Linked DNA regions of Drosophila melanogaster. The protein of the gene in region 2 purifies or fractionates together with the protein of the main gene of each other region. This does not show direct contact. Each region holds a gene or a part of one and is shown on either strand. Other genes may lie near its edges.

Region 1 (5,105 bases), 3.8 Mb from region 2:
CCCCCGCCAAATATATTACCCTTTCTCCCAGCGGAGAATCCGCAGAAGTCGTAAACTTGATTTCCTATGCACTCAAATCGGTGGCCCCATGGGCGCTTTGTTCGCACATGGAGGTGCGAATTTTTCAGCCTGAAAGCAGATCAACGATATTTGCATACTCCAACAAACTAAAACTAGGGATGCCGTACGACTATCTGCGGGGAATTGGAGGTGTATGGGGGACTCGGACTCATCGTCGGCATTAATAAGTATAAATAACTCTTTGATGGGCAGCCGGTCGTGAGCTGGCCGGCGACTTTAGTTTGTTTAGTTTGCTGGCCATTTGTACAAAACACCTTTAGCTTCTACACGAAATATGACAAGAAATCAACCGAAACCGGTTTCGGCGTTCGATGTAATGTGATTTTTGTGAGAAATAGCCAGAAAAAAGCCCCACACTGGAAAAAATATTGTCCTAGGCTGACCAAGATATTATTTAAATAAAATGAGTACAACATATTTTATTTTGAAAACATTGCGGTAGCACAATGCTTATAAAGAAATGCTAATTCAATATGATGAAACGTATTCATTGGAATCTTCTTTTGAAAAATTCGTAAGCATTTCTAATCTTAAAATATGTGTTTTTCGACTTTTGACTTTATTACGATATAACTGGTTTCACATTATGGCTAAGCACACAATTGTTTTAATGGATTTCTGCTGTTGTACTAGACACGCTGACATTTAATAATTTTATAAGAAAAAACAATTATATTTCTTGCAGTGCATAGGAAAGCCGAGGAAAAGGCAGCAGTGTACGGATACGCCATGCTTGAAATGCTAAAAGATGTTTGTGAGCCCCGTTTGCTGGGTTGCCGATGTTGTCTCTGTTGCCGGTTGCTGTGGTGTTGCTAATTAAGATTACAGACATCGATACTTTTCGAAAAGCAGTGGCACGTACACATATGCTATAGCCTTTAGCCGCCCATATAGTATAACCCGATATGCGAGTAGCAAGATGGCCAGAAGCAAAGGCAAGGCAAGGCATCGGCTGATAGCCTCCCTAAAGTGCTACATCAACGCCGAGTGACAGCGATGAGGCTGTGGCTCCTGGCTTATTAATTATGTAGCTTAATTTGCGATTATGCAGATATGCATGAGCATAAATTTTGAGGGAAATAAGCAGCCAGATAACTCACCTGCTAATGTATGTGCATATATCCCGTCCGATTTCATTCAATATTCCATGTTGTTTTTATACTGCCCTGCTACAGTTTGCTTCGCGTTGTTTGATTTCGATTCGATTTCGACTATGCTTTTGGTTTGGTTTGGATTTGTTACTTTGTTTTATTTTGTTGGCCAGCTAGTTTTTTCTCTAATGAGCCGCAGACACGCCGTCTGAACGGATGAATCTGCGATGAAACCGAAAGAGATAGATGGTTAAGAAACCCGAACCTCTTAACGAACTTGAAACTCGCACAAAAACCAATTGCACTCTTAATTGGCCAAGATTTACGTTTCGCACCTCCCTTGGCAATTTAGTTTTGATTTCGTTAAGCTCACACTTCATTTACTATATATCCATACATATATATACATATATATGTATGCACTATCCGCACGTTTGTCATTGTGGCCAAGTGTAATCAAGTGCCGTGGAGGATCTCTCGAATCTGCTCTCGTTTTGACAACTATTACCATAACAAATCAGCGCGCCTGCCACTGACAGGGCCAATTGAACTGAACCGCGCACAGGGAGCGATGACAAAAAAATATTTACACGGCGCCCGACTATCGTAGGGCCGGGTTAAAGGGACATCTGATTGTGGAAGGTGTCTGGAGGGGAGTGGTTCAGGGATCAGGGGAAATGGCAACGAGTCACCAAACAACGACGCCCGTGCCGAGGCCATATCCTTGCAGCCTTGTAGTCCGTATTCCTTCTCTCTGTTTTTTTTTTTTTGTTGTATGCCACAGTCGTAAATTCCAATTATCGACGAACTCGAGGCACGGCACCGCAAACCGAGCAGCCAGCCCTTCCTTCGAGTGGAGTGGATCCGCTGAAGTGGTGGCAACTGGAGTTGGGAACTGGGGGAAGCGGAAGGGAGCTTGGAACCGAAGTGGAGCAATTTTCAAAGTCAGCCGCGGCAACGTTTGTTGCTATTTTAGTCTGCCGGGATTTTCATAAGATTTTTTCCGCTTTTATAAATATTTCTTTTTCCATGGCTAATCCTTGAGGTTTCAGACAGAGAATTCAGCCGCCCGTTGTTGTCGTGGTTTTTAACAAAATAATTTAAATACTTTTGCAGCAGTTCTTGGGGGCTTGGGGGAATGCAATTATATAAAGGCTTCGAACTATTTTACTCAAAAACTCAGCAATACGAAATTTGCTTTACGTTAATTGAATAAATTCCAATTTGGTAGGCAATATTTTACTGCATTACAAGTTTAAACCATGACCTTTTTCTTATGTTTTTTAAATTTATACTCAGCACTCAAAGTATTATGATAAACTTTAAAGGGTCATTGGAGTTAGTAAGCCACTGAGTAACTTTACAAGTTTAATTTTTCAATAGCTTTTAGCACATGTTTAAGTCAGAAATTAAGATTTCGTTTTTATTGAAGAGATTTTGGTAAATACAAGGCCCATTAGAGATTCGAGTGCTGTTGTAAACCGGTAAGATTTAATCCGACGATGCATTACCACTTGGCCAATGGTTGGGATTATACTTGGCTTGGCTCCTTGAGGCCACACACTTTTGCGATTGCTTGTATTCATTCATTAGGGGTATATTTGCATTTATCACTTTTGATGGTTTTTGGGGTTTATGATGGTTTTATTAAGCACTTGGCCACCAAATCCTGTATCCTGAGCACAATGCCAAACACCTCTTCTATGGCTACTCACACAGATACACCGCACTTGTGCGTTTGCAGAGCCGACTTCACTTGTGTGTGGGTGCGAATACGCGTTGGTGTGCGTTACGTTGCGAGTGTGTGAGTGTACGAGTGTGTCCGTGTTTCGGTGTGTGTGTGTGTATTTGTGCGAGGGAGCGCTTTAAATGGAAACCCTGGTGCGAACGGATTGGGCTACATTTCCACTTGGACCGCTCGCGTTTTCCGACAGCAACATGTGTACCGTTATAGCTTCGCGTATCTACTGGATACCCATCGTCGGAGTTCCACTCGTCGATGCGTTTTCCTCGCGACGTCTGCTTTGATTTGAGTTCGAAACTCGAAATTCGAATAGCCAGCCGAAGAGAAATGCCCGAAAGAGCGAGCCACACGAAACTTGGCATACGATATTCGGATCTTAACAGCGACCTATATCGTATGCGTATGCCTTTAGCCCTCCTGCTTTAAAAGCCACTACTAAAAGTGGTATTGACAAATTTCCTCTTCTTACGGGTCGCCAACAAAAGAACCCACCACCCACTTTCTGCTTATTTATGCGTAAAGATTGCCCCTCAATCCGGAGATATTCGCTGCGATGGGCGATAAAAGTTGTCGCTGTAAAAGTAATTAGAGCTAGACACGATTACACCATGTTCCATATCGGCAGCAGATACTCCCTGCTTAACAGATGAATAATCGTTTTGGCAAATATTCGCGGATGTTGTTGGGGGATTTCCACATTAAGTTAGGCCCAAGTATTAGGCCTGCTTGACTTGAAAGTTGTTGCCTAGATGATAGAAAAGCATTTTAAATTGCTATTCAGCGATGGCAAAACTTATGAAGATATTAAGAAACCTTTGTTTATTTATTGTCTATAAAATTGGACATCTAATTTTTTGTATGTAGTACATTAGCTTACTACAATTTGGTTTATAGCAACATTTTAAAATACACTTACAAAGGAAACTTAAACAAATTGTATTATAATCATTCTTCGATTTTTCCTAATAGTGTTTTTAACCTAAATACTTTATTTAAACGAGCATCTTTTAAAAGATTTTCTTCGAAAATGTTAAGAAAAGAAAATTCCAATTCGGATTTTGTTTTATTGTTTGAATGCAAACAGCGGTAAATGGATTATTTTTGTTTAAATTTGTACTTCCTGCATGCATCCGCTACATATTAAGAAAAATTACACCTTAGTACACAGCAAATTAAAGCCAAGTAAAATATTTTTCAAGCACTGGAAAATGAGGCCTGTCGGAAATGAGCCTTCGCGATGAATAATAATCCCCTAGACAGCCAATTGGAAATTAATTAAATCGAACAATATTTGCTCGCCTGAATTATTCACTTTTGCGGCACAACATTGCGCCTTAATTCAGATTCGACCAGAGCAGATGTTATTCATCATGCGAGTGCTGCTGCATTGTTGTTCTTTATCAAGTGATTGATGCGCAATATCCACACAATTTGATATGGAAAGGAAGTAGTAAAGAAGCGCCCGAGCAATTTGCGCCCGGCCAAAACCAAACCAAAAAGCCAGAGAAAAATCCCCGCCGAGTGCAGTCACCTGGGATTGGGGAATGGTGAATGGTGAATGGGGGATCGAACTCCATTGGGTGCCCGTGCCTGGCCTGGACTCGAATCGATTCCCCTCCCGTTTCTATGGAATCTGCGTCGGGTCGGTGCCGTGCTGGGCATTAAATCGTTAAAGTAACATATACAAATTAATGCAAACAAATACACGAGTGCCGCATGAAATGCATTCGACTCCCAGACATTTCTCTCCAATGACCTGACCGTTTGGTGGTGCTCCAGATCTTGTCAATAGTTACGACTTTCCGATGTGCCACGGAATGCTAAACAGATCAAAAGCCTGGCACGTGAATGCGCCGCGCCGCATCCCCCAAGATAAACCGACTCCCAAATATCCCGAAAAACCTGGACTGACAGCCACGAGGTGTGAGAATTCTCAAGTGAGATGGCAGTGCACTCAGCCCCAGTCGCCAGCACACCAGACTCCCACCACCGCCCACTCCCATAAGTCCTCTTCCAATACACTGGGGAAAAATAGTCAAAAATAACTAATTAGAAAAATGAAGCACTGGAAGAAAAGTATATTTCGATTGTCAGTCTTGCTAGCCCATAAATAAAAACCTTATTTGTGCTGTCATTGTGTTTGAAAGGATTTGAAATTAAGTGAAGTGAAGTTCATAAGCGTGGAAGTC
Region 2 (5,132 bases):
CTCCTTTTGGACTAATCCCTTATTTTATCCCCAAACATCAGACACACACGTCCAGGTAAACAAAGACAGCCATTCCGCAGGTGAGGTGCGTGTTTGGGTTCTGATAACAAATTGCAGCGAATAGCGTTGGGAATTCGGTCCGATGAAAGTGCGGTGATGAGCCAGAAATAAACCACCGCACGAACCTTTTGTAATTAAATGTTGAAAGCAATTTCACGCCCAAAACCGATTCACGCAAGCAAAAGGGTGTGAGCCATGTCCCTGCTTCCCCCCATGCCCCACCGTGTGCATCCCCTTTAATGTTTTGCGGTGCTTAAATAAATTTCCACAAAATGTGCGTAATTAATGCGGAAATCTCGGCAGGGATTCTGTAAATCACTAGCTATCAATTTGTCTGCCCTGCAATCGGCCTAAGTGAAAATATCACTGCGTTTTAGATACAGTTAACATGTCTAAAATAGGTGCATAATGTTCAATTGCAATTAAGTCGCTCTTAAAGCGGAAATTAGTTTATATTTTAATGAAAAGTGAACCATATTCTATCTTGAAATGTATTGGGACTGTACTAATTTTCGGCAAGTGTTCGTTTCGTCGATTGTTTGCAATTGCGGTCACCACCATGTTGCACGCACAATCTGACGCCTTTCGGTTTTCTTATCGACTGGCAGTGTCCATTGATTGCAGTTCATTAAGCACGCGCAGGCTCACGCATTTTCCATTTCCCTTCATTTTCCACCAACCCCGTTGGGTCACCTTGCTCAACACCCAGCACCCACTCCATTGCGTCGACACCTGATGACTTGGCTCATTAGCTGGGCATCCCGTTCGCACCTTCAGGCACTTGACCATGGCCAGTTGCGTCCTGGATGTTGGACGCTGGAGTCCTCGCCCCTGAGCTGTGCATATATTTTCATAATATCCCCATCTCACCTTCCATTCACCAGCCACTCCTTAAAGCCTGATTCCGCATCTTGGGGCCATTATTGTTGATTGCTTATTCATGCATTCAGTCATTTATTCATATGCCTGAATCTTGGGCGTTGAGAACTTTGCTTGTTTGCCTTGTTATCAAAATTAAACTTTCCACTTTCGGTTCTAAGGACTCGTCCTTCCTCGCTGATATTCCAATCATGGCCACCGAAACTAGCCGAAATTAATTGCGCTGCTCGGGCTGAGTGCTGTTTATATTTTAAATTAATTATAAATATTTATTTATCCTGATTAGTTAAGTGGGCGGTCGGACTGCCTGCTCGTCGGGGGGGCTTAACCAAATTGATTTCGGTTTATTTTAGCATTGGCCAGCGCTTTTGCGGGGCCATCGATTACAAAGCGTTGGCTTTAAAGCCATCCGACCAACCAATCAGCCAGCGGCAATGGAAACTCAATTGCAAGCTGTCCATTACTCTTGGTCCACACTGAGCGGGAAATGCGGTTTAAGAGGAAAATTCTAGATCTAGATTAAATCGAAGCCAAGTTTTGATAACGAACATCGGGTTTCTGGCTCACGGAAAATGTAGTTTATGTCTAATCACTTAAGATGCGCTTTTTCTATGGCTAATATATGTAATATCTATTAGATTAATTAGATAAAAGCAGTGCATTGCTGAATATTAAATATCTTAGGTTCTTAAGCAGTGTCCCCCCTTTTCGCTCAATGTACTCGCATCAGACTCCGCTGCCTTGCTAACCGGATCCATTTTTCCCATCCTGCTGTCTTGCTTCTCTTTGTGGTTTTCTATAATTGATGGCAGCATCAATTCCAAACGAAATAATCAAGCCATACAGGAGGACCACGGAGGATGGGCAAGAGGGCTGGCCACGAAAAAAAGCAGAGCCACAAGTGCAGACGGTACAGTGCAGCACATTCGTGTATGGCCGGCTCACGTAGCCCGATTTGCCATGTTCCTTCGCTGCATACTTTCGTGGGCCAAAGTTAATTTCAGGTTTAAGTGGCAGCAACTGCAGCTGCTGCAGTCGAATTATTGAAGCCAAGCAAAAAGCGAATGGAACGTATGGGACGTAGGGGGAGGGGCAAAAACGTTTAAATGAAAAACACGAGTCAATTTATATTGCGCTGACGTACCGCCCGACATTTTCCAACACCCCCTCACCCAAACTCGACTGCCATTTAATCTTCTTCCATTTCTTGGCGCTATTTTCAAATGTTTTTCTTTGCTGTTTAGCCATTTTTTGCTGCTGTAGCAGTTGGAGCGAAAAAAGAACCCAAAAGCAAGCTTTGTGTGTTGGTTTCCTTTTTTCCGACTGCCCATGTGTGTTTGTCTCTGCTGTTTTTCCTCTCCCTTCTACTTTTTTTTTCCTTTTATTTTTTTTTTGGTAAAGCTGTACAGAAATCTGCACAAAAATGCACGGAAATTCATCTTGATTTGTGTTGAGCGTTTTTATTTATTTTTTTCCGACTCCCCCCGTGTATATCTTTTTCAAGGGCTAAAACTGCAGCACTTTTTTTTATTCAGCACATCTCTATATCACTTTGGTTTGGCGGTTTGTCTTCTCCACTTTATCCCCAGCGTTTTTTGTGCGAGTTTTGCCCTGGGGGCGTGGCGCACTAAATCAGAGACATTTAAGCGCGTTTTGTTAAAAGTCACTTACTGCACTCGACCATGGCTCATTTGCCGCCTTCCACCACCTACCTACATACATATGTACTTACCACAGAAAAGGCACAGTAGCAGTAGCCACTGGATCACGTTGCTGCCGTAGTTGCAACTATAGTTGCTGCTGTTGCTGCGGGTGATTTTTGTGCGACAGCAACACCTACGCACTGCCGTTGTCGCAATCTCTGCTGATGGCAACATGTGACTGTGCATTTCCGCGTTTTCCAGCTTGCAGCTACAGTTGCAAGTTGCTGCTGGTTGTGCTGCCACTGCTGCTGCTGCTGCTCTGAGTGATGTGCTAAAAGTTGATAGTGTCTGCCACATTGTCAACGCGCTTGGACACTAATTAAGTGCGAAACGAATGTCTGCTTGTCTCGGCAAATCCTTGCTAAATTATGCTAATTTATATTATTCCCAGAGACAGACCGCTTGTGTCCGTGGTTCGTTGGTAATTTATACGAATATATTTTTCAAATATTTCTCAGAGTTGGCACACACTTTATTACGTATTTCGATTAGTTGTTTGTGAATTTTCATTTATATTTTGCACGTCAAACTCAAACTTTATGCCCGCCACTATTTCGATCTCTTTCCTCGCGAGATATTCTGTCTCTTTCATCGCCGCGATGCGAACGCGTCACGCAATCGTCAGAATTGCGACTGAATGCTCGAATGTTGCTGCTGTCCGTTGGTGTTGCTGCCGTCAGTTGATGTTGATGTTGCTTTCGCCGCCGCTGCTGTCGCTCGGCAACATGTTGCCTGGAAAACGTCGATGGCTGTTGTCTTGCAGTTGTTCTTCCGCGAAAATGTTTGTCTTTTGACGTTTATGGGGGATTTTAGTGCGCCTCCTAATTACTTCATATGCTGCTCCAAAACTACGAACTGCAATGTCTGGAAGAAGACGGAGGAAAATGCCTCAATTAGTTGTTGACACAGGCAGAAATATTAATTTTATTGCTGTCTCGTAAAGTGCACAAAGTTACAAATAAAAATTCCAGCGATCGTCACGTGCCGCGACCCTTTTCCGGATTGATTTATGCGTTCAGGGACCCGAGATAGCAAAGTATCGCGACCCCACCCTGCCCAATGACCTTTCCCCAATCGGCGGGGGACTAATTAGCAGGCCGTCCACTCGAAGGCATCCAATTTGGATTTGGTTATTTCGCCGGCCGCCAGCAATCGGGTTTTGCATTATTTACGACTTTCCCCAATGCTCAATTATGCGCTTCAATGCAGGAAGCCGCACATTTGCCACCAGTCCTTCAAACTACGAGCATGCCCCTCACCATCCAAAAAAAAAAAGAGTTCTTCTCTGCTCCGCTTCCTGTTTTGGCATTGTTCACCAATTGTTTCAAAAACAAAGAAGGGCATTTTGTCCAAGGCGCACGTAGAGAAAAGGGCCACTACCTAAATTTCCTATTACTTTCTATAGTGTTTTATTAATCGCTTTTCGATGTAAACTAAAGTTAACTGATGACTATTATTAATGTAAACTCCAATAACATAATTTTATAAGTAACATGTTGATGTGTTTTCAATTAACAGAGCTATATTTGCAATGATAACATAACATTCTAGGAAGAAGAAAATGTATAACCTCTGCAACTATTATTTACCCTGTTACCGTTTGCTTCTACTAACATGCTTTTCTCTCAGTGTATGCAAAGTTTGGCTAATTGCTGGGGCAGCATCAGCATTGTTCCATGCATTTCCAGCTGACGGAAAATCGTGCGCTGAAACCAAAAATCACTTCCGCTTGGTCATTGATTGGTGGGTGGGGCAGGGGTAGCAGTGGGTTAAGCCCAGCGGTGGGTTAAGGGGGATATAGGCCTGCACTTCACACATCATTTCCTCTGCTCAACATTTATTATGCCATTTGTGTGAGACCGAATTGTCACAATTAGTCGAGAGGCGGGTGCGAAAGGGATGGATGTTGCGGCTCTATATATAGACCGTTTCCCCCCTGTTTTTTCCACGGCACTTTCCTCCACTTTTCCCACTCGTACTCATACCGAAGTGCCCTCCGATTCATTTATAATATTTTGTCATTGTCTGGCCGGCGTTGCTGCATTTTATTAATTTGTTTGTCATATTTTCACGTTTGTTTATTGATTAAAATGTGTGCACAGGCGTCTGACATTTTCTGGTTGAGCGATGGGTTGAAAGGGGAAGGGAATGGAATGAGATGATTTTGAGTCTGCTGCCAGCCGTTGTTGTTGTATCTGCGGTTCTTTCTGGCTGCTGTAAACATGTGTTGCCGGCAACATTATCACTGCTGTTGCATTGTTATTTTTATTCCCTGTCTGTTTCCACCAACTTCCCCTTCCCCCATCGCTACTCTTCCCTGTAGCGAGAAAGCCCCTGTCTGGTATTTTAAATAAAACATCATTTTTTGTAATTGTTGGCTCGGCGTGAAACATTCTATTGCCCCATCGCTTTCCCTCCCAGTTCTTTTGTTTACCTAGGCTACAGTTGCAAACATTTTCCTTTTCCCCACTTTTCCCCAGCTCATCCCCG

Evidence for each region.
Region 1: the proteins of beat-IIb (region 2) and side-IV purify together in Drosophila melanogaster (affinity purification with western blotting; one large-scale study listed by BioGRID). This does not show direct contact.

Annotation. Positions count from the first base shown.
Region 1 is NT_033777.3:13,448,507-13,453,611, reverse strand, and holds the start of side-IV (sidestep IV), read right to left. Parts: upstream 3,023-5,105; 5' UTR 2,684-3,022; intron 1,395-2,683; 5' UTR 1,182-1,394; intron 1-1,181.
Region 2 is NT_033777.3:17,244,600-17,249,731, forward strand, and holds the start of beat-IIb (beaten path IIb), read right to left. Parts: upstream 3,279-5,132; 5' UTR 2,940-3,278; coding exon 2,672-2,939; intron 1-2,671.